Mytilus edulis: one gene and its partner. The protein of the gene in region 1 purifies or fractionates together with the protein of each later gene. This does not show direct contact. Links are inferred from orthologs where the notes say so. Each region holds a gene or a part of one and is shown in the gene's direction. Other genes may lie near its edges. The genes, in order: centriole and centriolar satellite protein OFD1-like and centrosomal protein 20-like.

Region 1 (11,766 bases):
TTTAAAAATTATGAGTGTCAATTTTAAGTTTTTTTCCTAACTGTGTATTGCTACCTTAACAGGAAATATTTCGAGAAAGTACACTGTAATAACAGCATTTCATCATATCATAAGAAAACAATATAATTAGTAAGATTTTGGAAACATGTTAATTTAGTAATATTAGTTAAAAACTTTGACGAATCACAGTTCATTTCATTAACGATAGTTGGTGTACGCCTGTGTGTGTGTATGTTTGTGTATAAGATGTTATTATAAATAAGTTTGTTTTCATTGCTTTATGTATCATGTATACTTCTGTACCGTTGTACCTAATATGGTTTATGAGAATAAAGATTATAACAATAACGATATTTATTTAAAACAACAATCAGTTTTTCATATGAATGTGAAAGAAAGGAAATTATTTGATGAGCTTAAATACCCGAATGAAGTTATGATAACTGTATTAAAGTAGCATAACACCATAAAAACAAAAACAAATTCTCGGGATATATCAGTTTGTTTTGGGGATATCACGTTTTTTCTTGTATTTCTCGGGAAATCGTGGTACCGGGTCATTTTCATAAATTTTCGGTTACAAAACTTTGATTTTTTTGAAAAACTAAGGATTTATTTTCTTATCTAAGGAATAGATTACCTTAGTCATATTTGGCACAACATTTTGTAATTTGGGTCTTCAGCTTGGTATTAGTTTGGCTTTATACTATTTTGATCTGAGCGTCACTGATGAGTCTTAAGTAGACGAAACGCGCGTCTGGCGTATTAAATTATAATTCTGATACCTTTGATAACTATTCAGTTACCTCTGGTCCGTATTGTTTGGCGTCAGATATTGGTGCCGATCTTTCCCAGATTTATCATTTTACATATTAATGTTAAAAATTAATTTGTAATAATGTTTAATGCACTGTACCAAAAAAGATTAATAATAATAAAATCTCTGTACCAATAAAATGAATCATTGGATATATATAAATATAACCCAAAATTGTTTTCATTGGAACAAATTAATTTGTATTTGGATATTAACTAGGGTATCGTGATACCGTGAAATACTGATAGCTCGGTCCAGTAACATAAATATTAAGTTAAGATATACTGTTCACAGCTCGGTCAAAAACAAACTCGGACTATAACATATTATCTCATAAATTCGTATATAATTTTTATGTATAAAGGAGTAGGTCCGGTAAGGACCGATTTTGGCCTCAAATTTCAGGTTCATCTGACGAAAGATTTTGACCACTTTTTAAACACTTAAGTGTCTATTTTATTTGAATTAATTAGTTTATGTGAAAGATTTTAACAGATTTAGTCATTAAAAACGATCTGATTCAAGGTCTAATATGAAAAATCTACCTAATATGCCGAAAAATGTCACTTTTCAGATGGTTTTTGGTAAAAATGAAAATGGCCGCATCCGTGTTCATCCTCAACCTTTATATATGTTATGTATTATCATAAAATACAACTTACATTTTAATATAAAGGATGAACACGAATGCGGCCACTTTCGTTTTACACGAAAACCGTCTAAAATTTAACTAAAATGCTAGAATTATGAGGATTTCAGTAATTTAGCATGACTTAATGGTGGTAGTACCGGATATATGTGCATTGTATTGTCAAAAACAGCCCATATTTATGTAGCAGAAGCATTCTACTGTCCAATAAATAACTAAAGGTTTACATTTTAACAATTTTGTAAAACTGTTATATTTTGGGGCCAAAAAGGGGTCTTACTGAACCTACTCCTTTGTTTTTTAATGTCAGAAAAAACCGTTTACAACACAATCTACTACAGCAACCGTATTCCGAGTTTGTTCAATTTATTTCTGCATATAAATAATCAAGGCCGAGTTTGTTATAGTCCAAGTTATCAAGCAGCGAATAAAATCATGTCGTACCCACGAATTATAGTTAACCCGTACCAATGTAAACTCGTACCAACGTTAACTCGTACCACTAAAAAATAACTCGTACCAATGTAAACTCGTACCACTGCTAACTCGTACCAACTTATTTAAAAGCATTTGATTGGTGTTTAATTATGAATATATACTGTTATTTTTCTCAATACCTCTTAATAAAATTGAGAATGGAAATGGGGAATGTGTCAAAGAGACAACAACCCGACCAAATAAATAACAACAGCAGAGGGTCACCAACAGGTCTTCAATGTAGCGAGAAATTCCCGCACCCGGAGGCGTCCTTCAGCTGGCCCCTAAACAAATATATACTAGTCCAGTGATAATGAACGCCATACTAATTTCCAAATTGTACACAAGAAACTAAAATTAAAATAATACAAGACTAACAAAGGCCAGAGGCTCCTGACTTGGGACAGGCGCAAATATGCGGCGGGGTTAAACATGTTTGTGAGATCTCAACCCTCCCCCTATACCTCTAACCAATGTAGAAAAGTAAACGCATAACAATACGCACATTAAAATTCAGTTCAAGAGAAGTCCGAGTCTGATGTCAGAAGATCCCAGATAGCAAACATGTGTTGGGCCAATATTGGCATTCTGTTGGCAACATTGTTGGGCCAATGTTGGAAAAATATGTTGGGCCAACGTCATTTTGCTCATCGGCCCTCAGTTGGCCCAACATGTTGGGTCTTTGTTGGCCCAACATCAGTATGCCAACAAGGTTAACTATTTGCCAACAATCTGCCAACAATGTCAACTATTTGCCAACAGTCTACCAACGTCGTCTAGTTTTAAATTTATGTTGGACCAATGTTGGTCGAACAGTAGTATGCCAACGATGGCCTCAGTCTGTCAAACATGTTTTTCAGGCATTTGATATTATGTATTAAGAATTATTTAGTTCTAGTATATAATGTATATTATCGCTATTTTGTGCATTTTTCTTTTGATCTTTTTTTGTGATAATTTTCATATCATGCTTCTCGCTTGAGATGGAAAAATTATGAAACTAAGGAGGCCACGTGGCGTTGCTAACGAAATTGACATGAAATTGACAACGTCGTCATAGGTAAAATAGCGATAAACAGATTATCATTGGTCATCTCAACTCGATTGCTTTTCTCACTTTCGCTGTACCAGCTCAAGCGAGAAAATCAATCTCGTTGAGCATATAATCTATAATTATATTGGCAGGTCAATCCCGGCTGTCATGTGGAGAGTATGATATTACACTCGTGTCAAATGAGCAGCTGAGTTCAGTTGATTAGTTAAACAACTTGCAGAAACTATATTCAAATTTTATTTGTTTTTTTGGGCTGGTTTTAAGTATTTTTTGTTTGTGCATAAAATTATTCAATCATTAAGATAAATACATTTAAATGACTACACAGATTTGAAAATATTAGATAAAAAGAATGAAGAGCACATTTTTTGGTTCGCACTTTGAAATAATATCTATAAAAAAATAAAAAAATCTGTGGTATAATACGGGGAGATAAGAACTTAATACGTTGGCATATTGTTGGCACAATGTTGGCTCATATTTCAATATTGTCATGAAATATCAATGATATGTTGGTTTTTTTTTTTATAAATATACTGTTTTAAAAACTTTTGAATTATTCAAAATATTAAGAATTTTCTAGCTCTTGGCACAGACGGTTTAAAATAGTCCTATTTGGGAAGACTTTATTATTTGATTTTTTACTAAGTCCTCAATGCCCTTCAAACACAATCTATATTCTCTACGATAACATAGAATCATTCAAATAAAGTTCGAATAAAATTGGTTCAGTAGTTTCAGTCAGAAGATCTTACACTGAACCAATGGATAACGTAAGTCAAATATCGTTGGGCAAGCTACTTTAAAAATAACAGTTGGTAAGAAAATGTTGGGCCAACATTGGGCCAATAACACAAAAATGACAGTTGGTGGAAAGTCGTTGGGCCAACAAGGGGCCAATAGTGTCAAAATAACTGTTGGCTGAGTTCTGTTGGGCCAACAAGGGGCCAATAGTGTCAAAATAACTGTTGGCTGAGTTTTGTTGGGCCAACGTCGGTTTCTTGTTGTGCTGCCAACGCCAACTATTTACCAACTGTGCCAACCAACCACCAATGTTGGCCACAAAGTATTGCTATCTGGGATGTAACCAAAGAAAATAAACAAAATGACAATAATACATAGGCTTAATGGTAGTACTTTTTTTTTTTTATTAATTTTAGAAAGAAAAAACACCACAAAATGTTTTTTTAATGGTACGACTTCCCAGTGGTACGACTTTAAGTTGGTACGAGTTAACTTTTTTGGTACGAGTTAACATGGTACGAGTTTCCGTTGGTACGAGTTAATTTGCTTCCGTACCCACACACATGTACAACTTCCAAGTGTAAACGCAGGACTTCGGGAATGTTCGGAGAGCCGACAACCTTGCTTCGGAAGTTGACACATGTATAGTTCTATCGATAGAAATTATTAGTAGTACTTATACGTGTGCGTGGGTCTCACTAATTAGCGACAACAAGCGTCAAGAAGTGACAACAAGCGTCAACAAGCGACAAGAAGCGACAACAAGAATTATTTTAGCGACAACAAGCGACAAGAAGACTATTTAGCGACAAGAAAACATTTTTTTTTATTAGATATAAAGAAATTTGTATTTAATGTTTTTTTTATAAATATACGAGCAGATATGTCTTATTAAAATGGTTTATTATATAGATAGACGAAGAAATGAAACATTTGTGAGGAAGAAAGAGATTTTGAAGTTTATATTAGTATATTGGTAGATGAAGAAATTTAACATTTGTGAAGAAGAAAGAGATTGAGCTTCTTTTTTTTAATTTTTAAATATGAAGAATATGTATAAGATAATGTATGTATCTGTTTTCATCAAAGTCAAAGTATGAATAAACGAATGGAGATATATATGGAGCGGGCATAATGGAATATAATATTTTGATTCATTTGCTTAATACTATGCTCTAAGTGTACTCCCAGGTAGCACAAAACATTTTCAAAACATTTTTATAAGGTTGTATAAATGTCTTATCAAAACGTTGTCAAACAAATATTTTCGTGATGTTATGTGAATATTTTTTCTTTGATTTTTAAAACATTTATTTAAAACATTTTTTGGAAATATTTTTACAATGATGTAAGAATATTCATAAAAATGTTTTCGATAATATTTTTTAAGATATTTTGTATGAATGTTTTATAAATGTTCAGAAGATATGTAGGTTCTACCTCTGAAAAACATTTTAAAAGTATATAAGTAGAACATTCTTAACAATATCACTCCGATGTTTTAAAAATATTTTCTAAAAATGTTTCATGAAACTTCCCTTACTATTTCCTTTGCTCAAGAGGAAAACCCTTATCCCAAGGGATTCAGTTTGACACGGCGATGTGACAAAATAAGTGCGTTTCAATATTTACCCTTGCCCAAGGGGATATCATGAACGGACGTGTCCACTATAGTATAATTATAATACTTCTAATATGCATTTATCGAAGTTCGAGTCGTAACCTTTTTTCCCTTGCACAAAAGGAAATTGAAACCCTGTACCAAAGGGTTCGTTTGATACCGCGCAGTATCAAAGACGTTCTAAGTAACTGATTTATTAATCAAAGGTAAACCGAGTTGCGTTTTAGATTCTAGCAATTGCACAGAGCACGTACTTTTGCGAGAATAATACTGAAATGCTGACAATTTACTTTATACTAAACATAAAAGTTGAATGACTTGAACAGTCAGTTTGGTAGAGCAATGGAAATGCACACGCTATAAAATTGAAACAAAAACAAAAAAAAGGTCAACTTTCCTTTGAAGGATTTATTGAAACAAAAACATGAAATATTATTTCCTTTCTAACAGTATAATTCATTGTTCTTGATAGGAACAACATTAGATGTGGCTTCACCCTAAGGTAATAACAGTACACACAATGTGGAACATTAAATGAGATTAACGAGTCGCGTGGAACATTAAATGAGATTTTCCTCCTGTTTGATTTCAGTTCTTTGTATTTCACAATTTGTGTCAATGTTTTCAGGACAATGATGCACAACTAATTCATTTTGCGAGCTTAATATATATATTGCACGAAAAGAGTTTTAAAAAACAAATTATAAGATAAATAATATGTTCTAAAACACAAGGAAAAGTAATCTCATAATACAATAATTAATACTGGCTGTTATTCATAATAGATGATAAAATATTATGTAAATAATGTCCAAGTTCATTTTTTTATATCTATCAATTTTAACTTTTTTGTCGCTAAAATTATTTTCTTTTGCATATTCTTTTAATATTTATTGCAATAATTAATTTTAATTTAAAAAAAAATGTTTTCTTGTCGCTAAATAGTTTCTTGTCGCTTGTTGTCGCTAAAATAATTCTTGTTGTCGCTTCTTGTCGCTTGTTGACGCTTGTTGTCGCTAAAATTCTTGTTGTCGCTAATTAGTGAGACCGGTGTGCGTTAATAGCCAGAGCCTTTCTTCTATCCAATGGAAAGGCTTTAAAACATTAAGCCCGATGTAAACAAAGCGCTATTTTCGAAAATGGCTGATATATGAAAACAAATGAAACACCTGGTTAATGACAGGTCTCTACGTTGTTATAAGAGAAAAGAAAGGGAAGTTATGAAGATAAAACTTTGCGAGACAAAAACGTTGATTGTTTAACAATTATATAGTAGGCCAATATTAGAAAACTAATAGAATGGCGGAGGATAAACCTGAATACTTGTCGGCAGAAGCACTTCGTAATCGACTGTATCACAGTCTTCGGGATAAAGGGGCTGTAGACACGATTAAGGTATATATTTGAATACACGTAGGCGCAGTTATGAACAAGCAATCCATTAACTTCACGTACGGATTGTAAAACTAAAAAAATCAGGAGAAGAAAAACGTAATTTTTGGTGTGATAAACATGTGTGGACATGTTTCTCGGTGCATACTATAGTGTTTTCTACATGTCTCTGCCCCATATGAGGGTTTGGATGGGGTTAAACGTTTAAAGAATAATGCCCTTAAAAAATAAAGATTAGAGAATAACGGGCAAAAAAAATGAAGTTTAGAGAAAAAAGGGGTTAATTTTTGGAAGATTAGAGAAAAAAGGTGTTATTGTTTTAAAGATTAATTAGAGAAAAAAGGGGTGAAAATTAAATGTTTACAGAATAACAGACCCCCCATCCAGACCCTCCCATATTATTCATAATTTAACCTTAAATAACCCACTACATTTTTGCATAGTTTATATTGATATAAACCCTAGTAATATCAAGTGAAAATACACCTTCATGACTTTAGTCTTTAGTCTTTATTTTTGGCCGAGCGGAACGAGGCAAAATTTTTTTTAATGGGTTATGAAGTCACTGAAGTCCCCAAGAAGCTATAGAACTGTTTAAATCAACCAATATGTAGGATCAAGCAAAAATTTAATTCACATAGTTCAGTATGCATGGTATGTGGTTGCTGTTTTTATGCAGTTAAGCTGCATTATGCGAGCACCCTAGATTTGTGTTCTACCCAATAAATCCTGAAATACTTGCCATTGTTATTATCTAGCTTGTTACTATGTTATATATAATTAATTGAACACTTTTTTAATACTTTTTATTCTGGATTACAAAAAAAATGACCAGAAAAACCTTAAATGATCGTCGATTTATCCAAAAGTTTTAAAGTTACACATAGGAAGTAGTGCTTATTAAAAATCCTTGTGTAGTTCATTATGACTTGTGCTTTTAGCTAAGATGTCAAAGAACAATTGTATGAAATATTTAATCGCCGAAAATCTCTGAAGACAAGCAGTTTAGATTTCCCAAATGACAAAAGTCGTAGGAATATTGTTTGTCATCAATACGTAGTACAACTACGTCAGTAGTCTATTATATAATTCAACTGTTCATGCTGTTGGCGGCAATTTCAAATTAGAAAAAGAAATTTTCGTAGCTTTTCAATTTGGAGGCAGGTGTGCAAATTAGCGGTGGTCCGAGACCTTCCATTTTTGCAAGCGGAATTTCGACTAGGATAGTTGGTTTCTAGCTACGCCCGACGTAGTCGCCTTATATTTGAAAGAAAATAAGAAATTACTTTGCAAACCTTTTCACCATGTTCACCAAAGTCTCCAATTAAACGAGCTAAAAACTTATTTTTATCATTATTTTTCATAACGGCGATGTTCATTTTGTTCAACCGCTAGCTTTATACAGAAAATCGCCAACAAATATTGTATAAATTCGAGTAAAATCATATCTGATTGACAAAAACAACATTGTAAACACATAACAATGGCGGCCGTGAAGACAAAATTTTACAAAATCGGATCCGATTTCTGGAAGCGGATAGAGTAATTCCGGGTTTGACGATCATTTACAAAATAAATCCAAGCAGGTGAAAAAATACATCTATGCATGGTAAATCAATATAAACACTAGTATTGTAAACCAAAAGATATATGTAAAAGAAAGAAAAAGCAGAAAAATATTTTATTCAGAAACTAAAAATTACTTTTTGATAAATTTTAATTTAAAAAGCCAATACAACGTGACAGCTGGGAACAGTATATCTAACAATATACATGTTCATGGTCACAGTCTAAATTTTCTTTAATGATAAATGATGCTAATGCATGTGAGATGCTTTTAAAGTGTAAACATATTACTGCAATTTCGAGGGGTTATTTGTTTTTTCTCAATTTTGAAGGGTCAATTAAAGTAGCTGAAAGTTTCATTCTTTATTTTCACAAATAATGCAACTATACTATATATACCTTAATGTAAGTAAATCATATGATATATAGGTGGCATTCTTTGGGCCACTCTACCCCCTCCTGTTTGATAACTTGGAAACGGTCGAGCTCCCCACCCCTAAACCATATGAGGGGCAGATTATTGGAATTTTTTTTATTAAGCTGAGAATAACCCATGCTTTGCAAATTTAAGGGGGTGCAAGCCCGCAACCCTCCCCAGTCTGAATCCGCCCCTGCATATATTCAAGTATAGAACAATATAATAAATAAAAAATGAAATATAGGGGGAGGCCCTGGAGTTACCCCACCCCTTCCTGTTTGAGAACTTGGAAACGGTCGAGATCCACACCCCTTAACCATATATATTCATGTTTGTGACAATATGAAAAATCAAATGAAATATAGGAAGAGTCGCTAGGGGTCACCCCACCCCTGCTGTTTTAGAATTTAAAAATGGTCGAGATCCCCATCCCTAAACCATATATATTCATGTATGGGACAATATAACAAATCAGATGAAAGATAGGGGGAGTCCCTGAGGTCACTGTTCACCCTCCTGTTTGAGAACTTGGAAATGGTCAAGATCCTAAACCCTAAACCATATATACTCATGTATGGGACAATATAACAAATCAAATGAAATATAAGGGAAGTCCCTGTGGTCATCCCAACCCTCCTGTTTGAGAACTTGGAAACGGTCGAGATCCCCACACCAAAACAATATATATTCATGTATGGATCAATATAACTAATTAAATGAAATATAGGGGGAGTCCCTTGGGTCACCCTACCCTTCATGTTTGAGAACTTGGAAACCGATGAGAACCCTACTCCTAAACCATATATATTCATGTATGGGACTATATAACAAATAAAATGAAATGTAGGGGAAGTCCCTAGGGTCACCCTACCCCCAGTGGCGGATCTTTGATCCCTGTTGTAGTAAACATTTATCTGATTCGTGTCTCATAACTTTTGTACTATAGAACACAAACTGAGTTTTCTTTCCAGGGAAACCAGTCCATTCATACTATTACATGTTCATACTATGTCAAATTGAACTTCTAGCAGTCAAATAAAACCAAGGTTAACTACCAAGTAGAACAACTGCAATCATTGGGAACTTGTACCACTGCAGACTCACCATAAAATATATACATTGATATATGCATTGCTTTTGAAACCTTGATAACATATAAATTATTTGCCTTAATAAATAAATCATTAGATAAACATGAATGTACTATATATGAATGTTTAATGTTGAGGCAACATTGCCACAGTTTTCATAATTACGGTTGCCTTGGTTTTTGGTTAACTGCCTTCAGCGCTTACAGCGCTTTGATTTTTTTAAACTCTTGATCAAGTTAACAACATAATTACTTAATTACAACAATTTACAAATGGAATGCAAAACTAACAGAATTCAGGAGAGCAATCAATGAACAAAAGACAAATAAATAAGAAACATTGATACTGGAAAAAAACGGCTACGCCCAAGACACTCGCTGTGAACACAATTTGATATGAAGACAAGCTTTTGGTTTTGAAATTTCTAACATGAGGTATTTGTCGGAGGGGTCCTGATCCCGAGATCCCGGGCTTAAAAACATGAAATCCTGAGTTGCAGAATTAAAGACATTCATATCCTGAAATCCCTGAATGGAAAAATATATTCCTAGATCCTGTAAGGATCAATCCCCAAATCCTGAGCCGATCTGATCCCAACGTCCCGAAAAAAGGTCCCACCTCCCTCTAATCTCTACCCTACTTCATATTTGCCAAATCATTACTTTCTCTTTCAACAATAAATTTTTATGTCCCATTTATTGGCATTAGGTTTTCTAGTCTGTGCATCCGTGCGTTCATTTGTTGGTTCGTCCATCCGTCTGTCCCGCTTCAGGTTAAAGATTTTGGTCGAGGTAGTTTTTGATGAAGATGAAGTCCAATCAACTCTAAACTTAAATATAGTGCCGATGTGGCATCCGTGTACCATGGACACATTCTTGTTTCCTATGTTTTACTTATTTTAATATATACATTGTATGCAACTGGTATGACCCCTTAAATAGTTAACATTTCAAAGAAAACAGTAGACAGAATACAGAGAGTCTCTATATATTAAAATTGTATAACCGTAGTTTACATGTAGATAAACACGAAAAAATAATTGTCCTCGCTAATGTTATGTTTATCTTTTTAATACTGGTTAATGAAATCATTACAGTGTGTACTGGCTGGTCATTATCATGGCGTATGATACGATTTTGACACGCCTACATAGCTAATGAATATGCATGACTATAGATAAGAACAGCACGTGTAGCCAAAAAGGAGAGTTGTAGATTTGTAGCATAACTGTACATATGTAGTTTAGAAAATAGAAAATAGTTACAAAATTATAGTTATTATTAATAGTATCCGAACAAGTAAAAGACGTAAAACACGGATCTATCACTAAGGAATTAAAATAGTTGTTAACAAACCATTTGTTTTTGTGATTATCAAGGCTGAGTTATTTATTTTCATAATCATCCTGCCCCTAAAATTGCAATAAGAGGGTGATAATGGGGGTACCTTCAATGCCTTCATGACGAATAACAGTAATTAACCATAACCATTGACATTATCATTAATTTTTGATGCATAATGATAAAATGTGCACTTTCTTTAAGATGAAAAAAAAAATAGAATGATTTTGATGAATCAATTAAATTTTATCAAAAAAAACAACAACAGTGATGATATTTATTTGGGACCTCTGACGAATCACGTTAAGGATATTTTGACAAATCAAAGTGAAATTTGATGCTAATGGTAGCCGAAAATGACCATTTGACGCTTGACAGTAATTTTAAAGCTACTACTACCCTCCATTAGTAGCCTCCAAGTCCTTTTTATGTCTTAACTCTGACTGATAACATACATGTAGCACGTCTGCTTTTCGCTCCTTTTAAATGCATGGTATATCTGTCAACAGATTTCAGATGTATAATAAATATTCCACTTTTTTTTCAGAGCCAGTTGAGAAACAAAATAGTTGAAGAATTACAACAGTCTTATAAAGG
Region 2 (11,370 bases), on another chromosome or scaffold:
ATATTGTTTAAAAATGTCAATCTTATTTACAAAGTTTGTATATACAATTATACAAACAAAGCAAGCAAGCCAACCAAAGTTTTCTTTCCATGCATTAGGAAATTAGCTGTAAAGCCTTAATTTAGCCGACTTGCTCAAACAATAGATAAAGTAAGAGAAAGATTTGATAAAATTTAACTTACGGAGGAAAGTTTGGTTTTAAAACACTCTAATAAATTCAATAGAAATGACATTTATTTCAAATGTATTCCATTTAGTTTCTTATAAAGCGTATAGGGATCTTTATCCTTATTTCTTGTATCCATTTCCATGACACTTCACCACTAATTACTACTCCATGCTGAAGACCGTATTTTGACGTTTAATGGTCTACTTTTATAAATTGTGACTCGGATGGAGCCGAGTTGTCTCATTGTCACATACGACATCTATATATGGCTCAAAAACGGAACTAGACGGGATAAAAAGGGATAAAAAAAATCTACGCTACTTTTTTAATATATTTATAATGGGCTTAATATGAGTCAAAATAGAGTAAAATAGTGGGTCGCATTTGGGTATAAGCGTCACGCCGGATTGCCGATTTTTAGCAAGCGTGACAGGTGAAAGTCAAATGATTGTGTAGTGAAAAACGGGAAATGAAGTCTAGCGGGACACGGATAATAACAAAAAATTAGAACTGCATAGTATAAGCGGGATACGGGAATCTGACAAAACAATAAGCGGAATACGGGAATCTGCCAAAACAGTAAGCGGGATCCGGGATCAGACCCCCCCCCCCCCCCCCCCCCCCCAATGAGACCCCAGAATAAGATATTTTTGTATATTCATCCTATTGTTACAGTCATGCCTTCAATAACAAGTTTATCCGATGCATGCATTTTTTTAAAAATTTTTGGTCCCTTTTTCAATTTTGTGGGGTCCAAATTTATAGACAAAAGTCCTTTAAAGGGAAAATTCACGATTTTTTACTTATGGTTTAAATATGTTCATTATGACATAATATATATATTCACAAAGTTTTATCGCTATGTGCAGTAATAAAGGAGAAATTCAATAATTAATGAAAAAATATCAACTACTTCCTGTAGGTCGTGACGTTTTCTCCTGATTTTTGCATGCCGGGATTTAAAATAAAATCATTAAAAGTCTTGGTTTTTAATCATATTTTAACGTAATCGTAAGCGCGCCGATGACTTATGCTTTATCTAATAACCATCCGATAATAAGAAGATAAAACGCACAGACGTTCAATTGTACTCATTCGTGAGATAAATTATCTATGTTAATCGTATATATTCGAATTATTTTTGTAGACAACACAAAAAGTTATAAATTTATTTTTAATAAATGCATTTTCGGACTGATAAGGTGGACAAATTAAAGTACAATAATCTGTAAAGACAATATGTTGGTGTACTCTTATTGCCCTTTTACTATCTCTGCTATGACTAGGTTTATACGATGTGTGTATTCACGGTTTTGTGGCAATACTCGTAGATGGCTTGTTGAAAGGTAAATTGTTATTTGCACTTCGGTATTTAACCACGCCTCTAGGGTACACCTTGCCAGGTGTGACTGTCTATTCGGATCAGTGGGAGCATTTAATACACACATTAAAAATACATATTCAAGTTGGTGACAAATAAAAATTGGTCGCCGTGGAATTATTTAATTATATTTGGTGCTATTATTTATTTGAATTCAAATAAGTTAATTTACTTAGAAATACACAATTTTCGGTTAAAGACGGGAAACTTTATTCATATGTCAGAATGAAATGATATACAAGTCTTGTCCTTGATTTATGTCTCATAAAAAAGGGGGACTTAGAAATTAGAAATAGCTTTACTAAATCATTTTTATTTGTCTTTATTAGGCGAAAAAATCATGTACGAGAACACTTACATTTAGACTTTTGAAAGCCATGTATTAATTAATATCTGAAACTATCTGAAGATAACTCTACCGAAGCGGAATATAATATGTACGAATAAAGAAAAATTACTTTTGTACTTAAGAGGTTCAAAAACGTCAACCAAATTTATTCATAATCGGGAACGTCCTTATTAAAATCTGAGACTACTATATTAATCGTCGTCTCCCAACGTATATATATACTTAAATAATTATTTGACCAACGATGTTTAAAATTAAAAGACAACGAATTTAATGTTATCTTTCCCTAGTTTTGAATGTTATTATAAGTCTGTTCAACTTGCAAGAATACCCCTAAAGCGGACAAATATCCGACAAGCAGTTTATTCTTTAAATTGCTGTCATTGAATATCAAGAAAGAAAATAAATCCCGAAATTGATACTCAATAGTTTTCCTAGAAAATATTCACATCCCTTGGGGATTATTAGTGTACGTCCAGTTGCATATATTTTATATGAATGTTGGAACAATTGTGATGATGACGAATTTCGTCCTTTATTCGAGAACAATCTAATTGATATATAAATCTGTGAGTTTACTATGTTCTTAACTTCGATGAACCAAAGCAAGTTATAAATTGACCTGTATTTAAATCAAATTGTTTCTTTTTTTCTTCTGCTTCTTTTGGTATACAATAGTCTATCGAATTCGTTGATTACATACTGTTGGCATACGTGGACTAGTCTATTTACAAAACTTTTACCACAATTTACACAAAATGTATGTTTCTTTCTTATGTTCAATGTATACATATTTTAAATTGCGCTACTGACTATAGTTCCGTAACTTTCTACCCAGGCGTGTGTATACACGAATCGTCGACAAGTGCGCACATTTTTTTAAATCAATAATTCTGGTATGTTCCAATCTGTCCTAAACTATTGACAACGAGTATATATTACATTTTCCCAAATTAATCCTTGGAAAAATATGTAAATAGATTTGTATTTCTTCAAAAAAATAAATTTGTATTATTTTTTTTTATAAATAATATTCTTTACACCAGAAATGTTATTTATAAACTAGCGTATGAGTTCAGCAATGACTAGTATATTATATCACTTTCGGACACGCAAGACAAAAATGTGTATTATACATGCACCTCATAGCAGGGCCGTAGCGTAATGGAAGCAAATGAGGCAAATGCCTCACGTTTGAACCGACGACAAAACTTTAGAAGTGTATTTTTTTTTTCAATTATGTATTTTCAATAATCAGTATGCGAGTTTCGAATCATCTTCAGACACATAACATACAGTGTGTCCAATACAAATCAAAAATAAAAAAAATGAAACAAATCTTAATGTCGTTACAAAACTGGTTGAATACGGGTTCGTTAAAGAGAAAAAAAGATGAAAAAGGTAACGCGTGAGTATAAGCACCCCCTTTAAGTATAGCAACTGCCTCTACTGCAGAGCAGCATTAGCGAATTAATTTATTTTCCCCATTTTTGGATCACGTCATTAATGAAATGCAACGCCGGTTTCCTGATGAGGTAAAAAATCAAATGTTAGGATATTACCTTATTCCAAAAAATGTAGGCAAGTTAACCGGAATTAATTGAACACCTTTTCCAAGCATTTCCGTACGTCGTAACTAACATGGAAGAGTTAACATGTGAACTTGAAAGGTGGGTAAGAAAGACAGTAGCAATGCTTGATGAAGGAAGCCTCAAGACAGCAATTAAGCTAGTTAACAAAGACTTATACCCAAATGTTTTCAGAATATTGCAAGTACTTTAAACTCTGCCTGTCACATCAGTCTGTTGTGAGAGATCGTTTTCAAGTTGAAGGCGTTTGAAAACCTGGGGAAAATGGGTGGTGACAGGCTTTGTGGGCTTGCCATGCTCTATATGCATATAGGAATGATATAGTTGACAAAGAACGTGTGTTGAAGCTTTTCGATAGTACAGGTAACAGGAGAATCGGAAAGTTTTGGTTGACCAATAGAGATTAACTTTAATATTGAAACTTGTTTTGTGACTAAGCTTACTAGGCTAGCTGGAAAAAAAAAAAAAAAAAAAAAAAAACGCATTTCTGTTATATTGTTTTTTTTTTTTTTTTTTTTTATAAATACATTTGACCTCTCCCATAGAAATGCTGAAATATGCTTCTCCTGTTTCAGGCTCCCGAACACCCCTAAAAAAATTTAAAACTTGTTTTGTGACTAAGCTTACTAGGCTAGCTAATAACAAAAAAACGCATTTCTGTTATATTGTTTTTTTTTTTTTTTATTTTTTTTATTATAAATACATTGACCTCTCCCATAGAAATGCTGAAATATGCTCCTCCTGTTTCAGGCTCCCGAACACCCCTAAACAAATTTGCCTCAGTTGATTTGGACATGCGCTACGGCCTTGCATAGTTTAAAATGGCAAGTTATAAGTTACGGTCGTGTACACTGATCACTACCTACAGAAGTGAAACGATGCATGAACTTGCAAGCCCGCCGGACAGGAAATCGATTGAATACCTGCACGTGTCACCTTACACCCCTTCCAATACCTTTGAGAGTAATACCTTTAGCCATGCTGGTGATCAGATGAGGGAAGATCCGAATTTATTTAAATAAAGTTTATTACTTTAAAGAATTATGAACGAATTAGATTTTCGAAAACAATTTCCACGGAACACTTATTTATGATTTGAACTTTGACTTTTTAACTAATTACAATATTATCAGTTTAAAAATAACAGACTATATGGTAATTTAAAAAAATAAGACCATTTTCCGTATCAAGTTAGTCAGTCAGATAAAACAACCGTACGATTGACAAGATATCGACACGCAATTACGACTACATCGTTTACTGTAGTTTTGTTCCTTTGTGGTTTATAGACATATCGGGATTTTTCATCGGAGAAGGTGACAAGATGGCGGAGCTCAGAGAACTGATAATAAAAATTTAAAATCGATGGTGATCTCTTATTTAGCGGAATAAAACTTTAATATCTATAAATTTGAGCATTTTTATACAGAATGGACATAATATCAATTTTTGATTTTTTTGCGAAGTTTCCCTTTAATACTATGCTCTAAGTGTACTCTTGTTATGTCAATTCGATGCTTTATTTATAGAACTCTCAGCCACGCTTTGTCCCCTGTTTTATTGCTACAATAACAGCCAATTAACACCTTCAACTTTGTACACGCGTCGGACCAGGGGCGGATGCAGGAATTTTCGAAAGGGGGGGTGCTAACCCAGGGCAAAGGGGGGTGCAGGGGGGGTGCAAAACATATGTCCCGATACAAATGCATTGATCGGCAAAAATAAAGGGGGGGTGCGCACACCCGGAACCCCCCCCCCCCCTGGATCCGCCACTGCGGACTATACAATTACACGCGCCAGAATATACAATCATTGTAAATAATGAACACCTGTTGAAAACTCAGGATTGTCATTAATTTCCTTTCATCTTCAATCAATATGCATAAACATGATAAATATCGTTTAATGAGGCAATAAACAAATAAAAAGATGAAAACATTCACATTTCAATTTTCGTTTCCTCCTGTTTGATTTCAGTTCTTTGTATTTCACAATTTGTGTCAATATTTTCAGGACAATGATGCACAAATAATTCATTTTGCGAGCTTAATATATATTGCACGAAAAGATTTTAAAAAACAAATTATAAGATAAATAATATGTTCTAAAACACAACGATCGAAAAGTAATCTCATAATACAATAATTAAACGTAATACTGGCTGTTATTCATAATAGATTATAAAATATTATGTAAATAATGTTTCATTTTTTTTATTATTTGATTTTAAATTTTGAAAATTGTTATATTTTTCATTTTGCAAAAACTAAAATTGAAGGAAATCCATTGAATATTTTTAAAAGAGTAATATTGAAGCTTTAATAATCGATACTATTTGTCCGGAAATATTCACAAATTCTCCGCATCGGTTTTCTAGTTTTAGAAAAATAATTAGTGTTGGAAACGTCATCATTTCATGTGGTTATTACGTTTTTCGCATCCAATGTAAATAAAATGTCTTCAACACATGAACTAAAAGATGGTAAATGGTTTAAGTTGAAATATGAGTAAAGGAAACTGGTATTTTATCAGTTTTTTGCCAACCTTATATTAATTACTGCAACTTATCGCCGGATAATACATTATGATACGTTAACAAAAGCTGTAAATGAGGATGGTCTAGTGAAAAACCTGTCTGGTCATGTTATTGTTATTTTATATAACGATAAACTGTTTACTTTAACAATCATTTCTACAAACAAGACATAAATTCCGAATAGTTTCCAAAACATATTATATAAAAGAATATTTTCCCAAGAACAAAACTGACTAGAACTATCTATTTATGAAATAACATGATAAATTGTTGTCTAATGTTGATAGCCCCACAGGACGCAATTACAACTGGACGCAATTCTCAGATCTGCAGTGACATCACAACATGTAACTGACCAATCAATGATTAGCATTTTTGTTATGTAAACAATGTTGAGAGGTGATGCGGATAAGATTCCTCTAGATTTTCCATAGACTTATTGCAAATTAATTTAATTGATATATATCGTAACCAGTTGAATATAGTAATTTTACTCTTTTAATACTGTTAAAGACACTATATAATATCTCTATTTTGATTTTTAACATACAATAACCTCTGGTTAAAAAATAATCGGCAATATAAATAATCAGTAATCCCCTTCAAATAGATGAAAAATCTAGAGGATTCCGGATGACATCACCTCCTGACAAATGTAAATGCCAGGATGTCCGGATCTGAGAATTACGAACGATTTCCAATGTTTGCCCTCTGAGATCATATTTATTTATATTTAACAATAAATGTTTTTATAAATAAAAATCCTATTAAAATTCCCTTGTTTTCATGATATAAATACAATTTATGTGCACTTGGTGAATGTTGATTACGATGACAAAATCATTCTGCAAATATTATAAAAACGGCAATCTGGCCTGAAAGTGATATAAAAAAAAAACATAAAGGTAAGTGCATATTGCCTTCTTTTGTTAATATATAGAAAGAAAAATATCTCCTGATTCTGTTCATATGCGTGATGCCTTTTATCTTGCCCAAATAATAATAATAATAATAATAAATTCTTTATTTAAAGAGGGTAAACTCAGTTAGTTACAATAAACTAATCTTCCCTGAGGCCCTCACATACAAATTACAATACAATCAAAACAGATATTTACACATAGTTAATTTACAGTCATGTAGTTCAATTTATTGTTATTAACATAAGATATAATGCTGTTTAAGATGTATACATGTAGTCAAAAAATCAAATGAAAATAAAAAATATACAAATACATTGTAGCAAACATTTCTTATCAGGATTGTGTTAGGTACTTCTTGATACTTTGCTTAAAAGAAAAAGTGTTTTGAGCTTTACGCATTTTGTGTGGTAGTTCATTCCATAATAATGATCCAGAATAAGCAAAGGATATCTTAAATAGTTCAGCTTTTGGCAAATAACCCCACAATTGACGTTTTATAGACTCTACCCTATTTATGGTCAAAAGAAAATATGTTAATTTTATTGAAAAGTCCAGAAAACTCTGAAAGAAATATTGACCTATAATATAAAAAAAAAATCATAGATGAATGATAAGTACACAACCGAAATGGATAAACTTGAATTTAGTGCTCCTTTAAAGGAGGAACTTGCACAAAAACAAAAAAAATCAGAAATCTTTCCTTTACACATGACCGACATTTCGTCTGCAACCACTGCTGAAGTAATTGAAGTAAAAAACAAACTTGTGCATCTTATTTTCCTATGAAATTGTGTTTGAGATAAAGATTAATGTATGCTTTATCAATCTAGACTATTGTCATTGATTTCTTCTGCAAGATATATCAATATAGTGCTGTTCGGAATTGCGTCCATATGTGGCTCTCTTGACCCGTAAAAAGCGGTCACGCAAATCTTACTAAAGTATCCTAACATGCCTAACATGAATAAAAATTTATGTGGGATATGATGCAAAATGGAAAGCCTGACATACATCTTAAATTCTATGGTATAAACAATTCAAGAAAAGTAGTCTTTGACTACATAAAAAAAATATTAATCATAGTTCAAAAATCGTTCGTAATTGTGTCCGCTAGGACCTTTTAATATTGGGACTCCAGGATCAGGGGTTTGTAAGCTTGGGATTTCGGGATTGACCCTTTTGGGATATATGGGAATCTTTTTTTTCGGATTTCAGGACGTTGTGATTTACTTTAATTAAATTCCTGACCTCAGGATTTCGTGGTTTTAAGACCAGGATTTCAGGATCAGGACCCCTCCTATCCCCCCTCAATGTTGAATCTGTATACCAAAACATTTTGCTTTCATGTGGATCCGTCCCCTCAGTCTGTCCGTTCCAGAATTTAAGATACATACTGTGTATTGTATCAAATCTTTTGTGGTTTAATCAATGCATACAGGAGTTTTTTGTTAGACTGAATGTCATTTTCTTTTCCCCTTTATCTTTTTATGAAAATCCAACGATTTATCTTTTAAAAAATGTTAACCCTCCACAAGACTTAATTGTCAGTGGCTTATCATCTATAACCTTAATCCTAATAATAAAATGCTATTTTATATTTAGAGAACCTACTTTATATAGAACATAAGACAAAGATTTCATAGCGAAAAATTGGGGGGAAAAATATATTTAGTAGCACAATAGCCTGAAGATTTCATAATTATCGGAAAATATTTTATTTCCTCATTTTTCACTATAATTATGAAATCTTCAGGCAACTATGATATGTCATTGTGTTATGTTCTATCAAATGTAGGTACAGTATATATATATATGGTGTACTAAAAAAATATTGACACCGTATGTTTGTGGCATAACATCATGGCCACAAGTTAAATTGTTTTCTGTTTAGTATTAAATTTATATTAAGATCCATTTTGTTACATCTTGTGATCAATTTTATTTGGCAATCGCCAATGGCAGTCAGCAGGGTTTAAGAACATCAGTTGTTCGACCTGTTAGTCAAATGCGTTTTGTTTAAATATACTTTTTCACTTTTTTGGTCTTTCGGAAAATGTTGTTTGTGCTGTTTTTAGACCCTTCTACAACGAAATTTGTTTTACATGCACACGTATAAAAATTGTGGTTTTTATCCAACGCAATCATAGGTTTGAACGTAATTTTCAATTTAGACTCGTTTTATATATTATATACATATATAGTTTTCTTGTTTTGATTATAAGAGGGTATGAATGGTTTACCATGAATGAGAGTATGAATTTGGTTTATAGATAAGACAATAATGGTAAAACAAATGAGGATTAAAAAAAACAATATATACATATGAAAAACAGATAAAAGGTGTGATTAAATCCTCCAATTTTATTATAAATTAAACACTTATTAAAAATGGGTAGGATGGATGTGTGACAAAATGAATTGGGATGGATTAACTCATTCAACTTGGGACAGGAATAACCAGATACCAAACCTTCATTTCATTTCATGTTCACTTTTCTTCACATTCCCATATTGCTATGAAATAAGATATAAAGGTCCAAGTTGTAAAATAAATTGATTGACAATTTGCCTCAAAAGGTAAACCGGTTTCCCTTTTAAAGTCAAATTTATAGTGTTTTGTTGATTTTTTTTTATGAAATAAATATTGTCATGACAATCACAGGCATATGTTCAATCATTTATTTAAGAATCATAAAAAATAGGCTGAATATATCAAAATATCTATCAAATTCATCAAATGACATTTGCACAGCAACTATAAATAACCATATAAAGGTGTTGTATTTCAGCTACATGTATAAGTTCCTTAATTATACATGTACATGTATAATGCAGAGTCACAAGTCATTAAAAGTTGGTAATATGATAGTCTAAGATATGTGTAGGCCTGCAATGCCATGTATGGAATCAGATTATTTTTGGTTAAAGATTGCATGAAATGCAATCAAAACCCTATTGTACTGGCTTCATATTTAAATCTTCCCAGATTTATCTGAATATCACTACCTTTGATATGAACAGAATATAGTGCATTGATCATAACATTCTATCCATCTTATCCATGAACATATCCAGAAATTTTTATCAATGATGTCAACTTTAAAAATTGGAGTTATCTTCCTTTGTCCAGAATTCTTGTTGATTCAACTATTACCAGTGTTTCCCACTGATAAATTTTAGCAATCTTAACCCTTCAGTGCTTACAAGCACTTTGATTCTATTTAAATATTATACATGTATGTTTATTTTCTTTACAGTCATTAAAGATACATTAGAGAATAAAGGAACACTAGGACAGATAAAAGCCAGGATAAGAGCTGAGGTGTTCAATGCGCTGAATGATGAAAGTGAAAATAAACCTCAACTTAGCAATGAAAATTTGATTATAAATGAACTCATCAGAGAGTATCTAGATTTTAACAAGTACAGATATTCATCATCAGTGTTGGTAGCTGGTAAGTTTTTCCAATTCATTAGGCCTACATCTAAAACTTACAAGATTTTCAGCCATTTTTTTTAATAGTACATTAGTTTCTTGATTGAGTATTTTTACATTTGTCTTTTCAGGACCTTTTATAGCTTGCATTGTAACATGAGTTTTACCCATTGCAAAATTATTTTTTATGTGTATGTTAATTGATTACTCTGGATTTTACAGATAAATTCAGTCTCGTGGAAAACAATACTGATCAAAATAACATTCTAATGTCTTTTTGAAAAAGGCTGAAAAATAAGATCTCAAATACTTTATATTTTCAAGTTCAGGGCCATAGAGTGCTCATCTTATAATTCTCCTTCGTCATGTTTGTGTAGGTCAATAATATATATTAGAAAGATGCATGCAATTATTAAAAATATTTGACACCAAACCTTTAGTATACTAAATCTATGGTATACACACAGTCTTCACACAACTTGACTTCTTGCTTATGATAGCAACATCAATTAACTCATCCACATTGGTAAAGATAAGAAAAACAACAAAGAAATAAGCTATGACTTAAAATCATGTTTTAATAATAAATTTATAACTTTTTTTTTCAGAGTCAGGACAACCAAACGTTCCATTAGACAGAGGATTTTTAAGCAGGGAACTGAATATCAGAGAAGACAGAAATTCTAGCTCAGTGTAAGTGTTCCTTTGTTTTTCATTTATTTTTTAAAAGTACATTTAACCTTAACATTTCATTATAACATGTTCTTGGTTTAATGCTATTCTGTCGAATCCTTTTGGTATTGGGGCATGTTGGACAGGAACTTGAAATTGTTGCTACAGATGTTGAATCAAACCTTCTTCCCCATAACGAACCTATTCCAAATCCAAAATCCTCAATTACCATGATTACCTTCATACTTACTGTAAAAGCAGAAATTTTCGTGGAGGATTTAATTTTGTTTATTTTTCGTGGAAAGAATATATATC

What was found.
Region 2: the proteins of centriole and centriolar satellite protein OFD1-like (region 1) and centrosomal protein 20-like purify together in Homo sapiens (co-immunoprecipitation; 3 studies listed by BioGRID and IntAct, with this or other methods). This does not show direct contact. The link is inferred for Mytilus edulis from reciprocal best matches to the Homo sapiens genes OFD1 and CEP20.

The regions. Positions count from the first base shown.
Region 1 is NC_092351.1:500,957-512,722, forward strand, and holds the start of centriole and centriolar satellite protein OFD1-like, read left to right. Parts: upstream 1-6,477; 5' UTR 6,478-6,661; coding exon 6,662-6,757; intron 6,758-11,716; coding exon 11,717-11,766. UniProt on the Homo sapiens protein: Component of the centrioles controlling mother and daughter centrioles length. Recruits to the centriole IFT88 and centriole distal appendage-specific proteins including CEP164. Involved in the biogenesis of the cilium, a centriole-associated function.
Region 2 is NC_092352.1:76,243,632-76,255,001, reverse strand, and holds the start of centrosomal protein 20-like, read left to right. Parts: upstream 1-5,855; 5' UTR 5,856-5,942; coding exon 5,943-5,970; intron 5,971-10,204; coding exon 10,205-10,402; intron 10,403-10,991; coding exon 10,992-11,076; intron 11,077-11,370. UniProt on the Homo sapiens protein: Involved in the biogenesis of cilia. Required for the recruitment of PLK1 to centrosomes and S phase progression.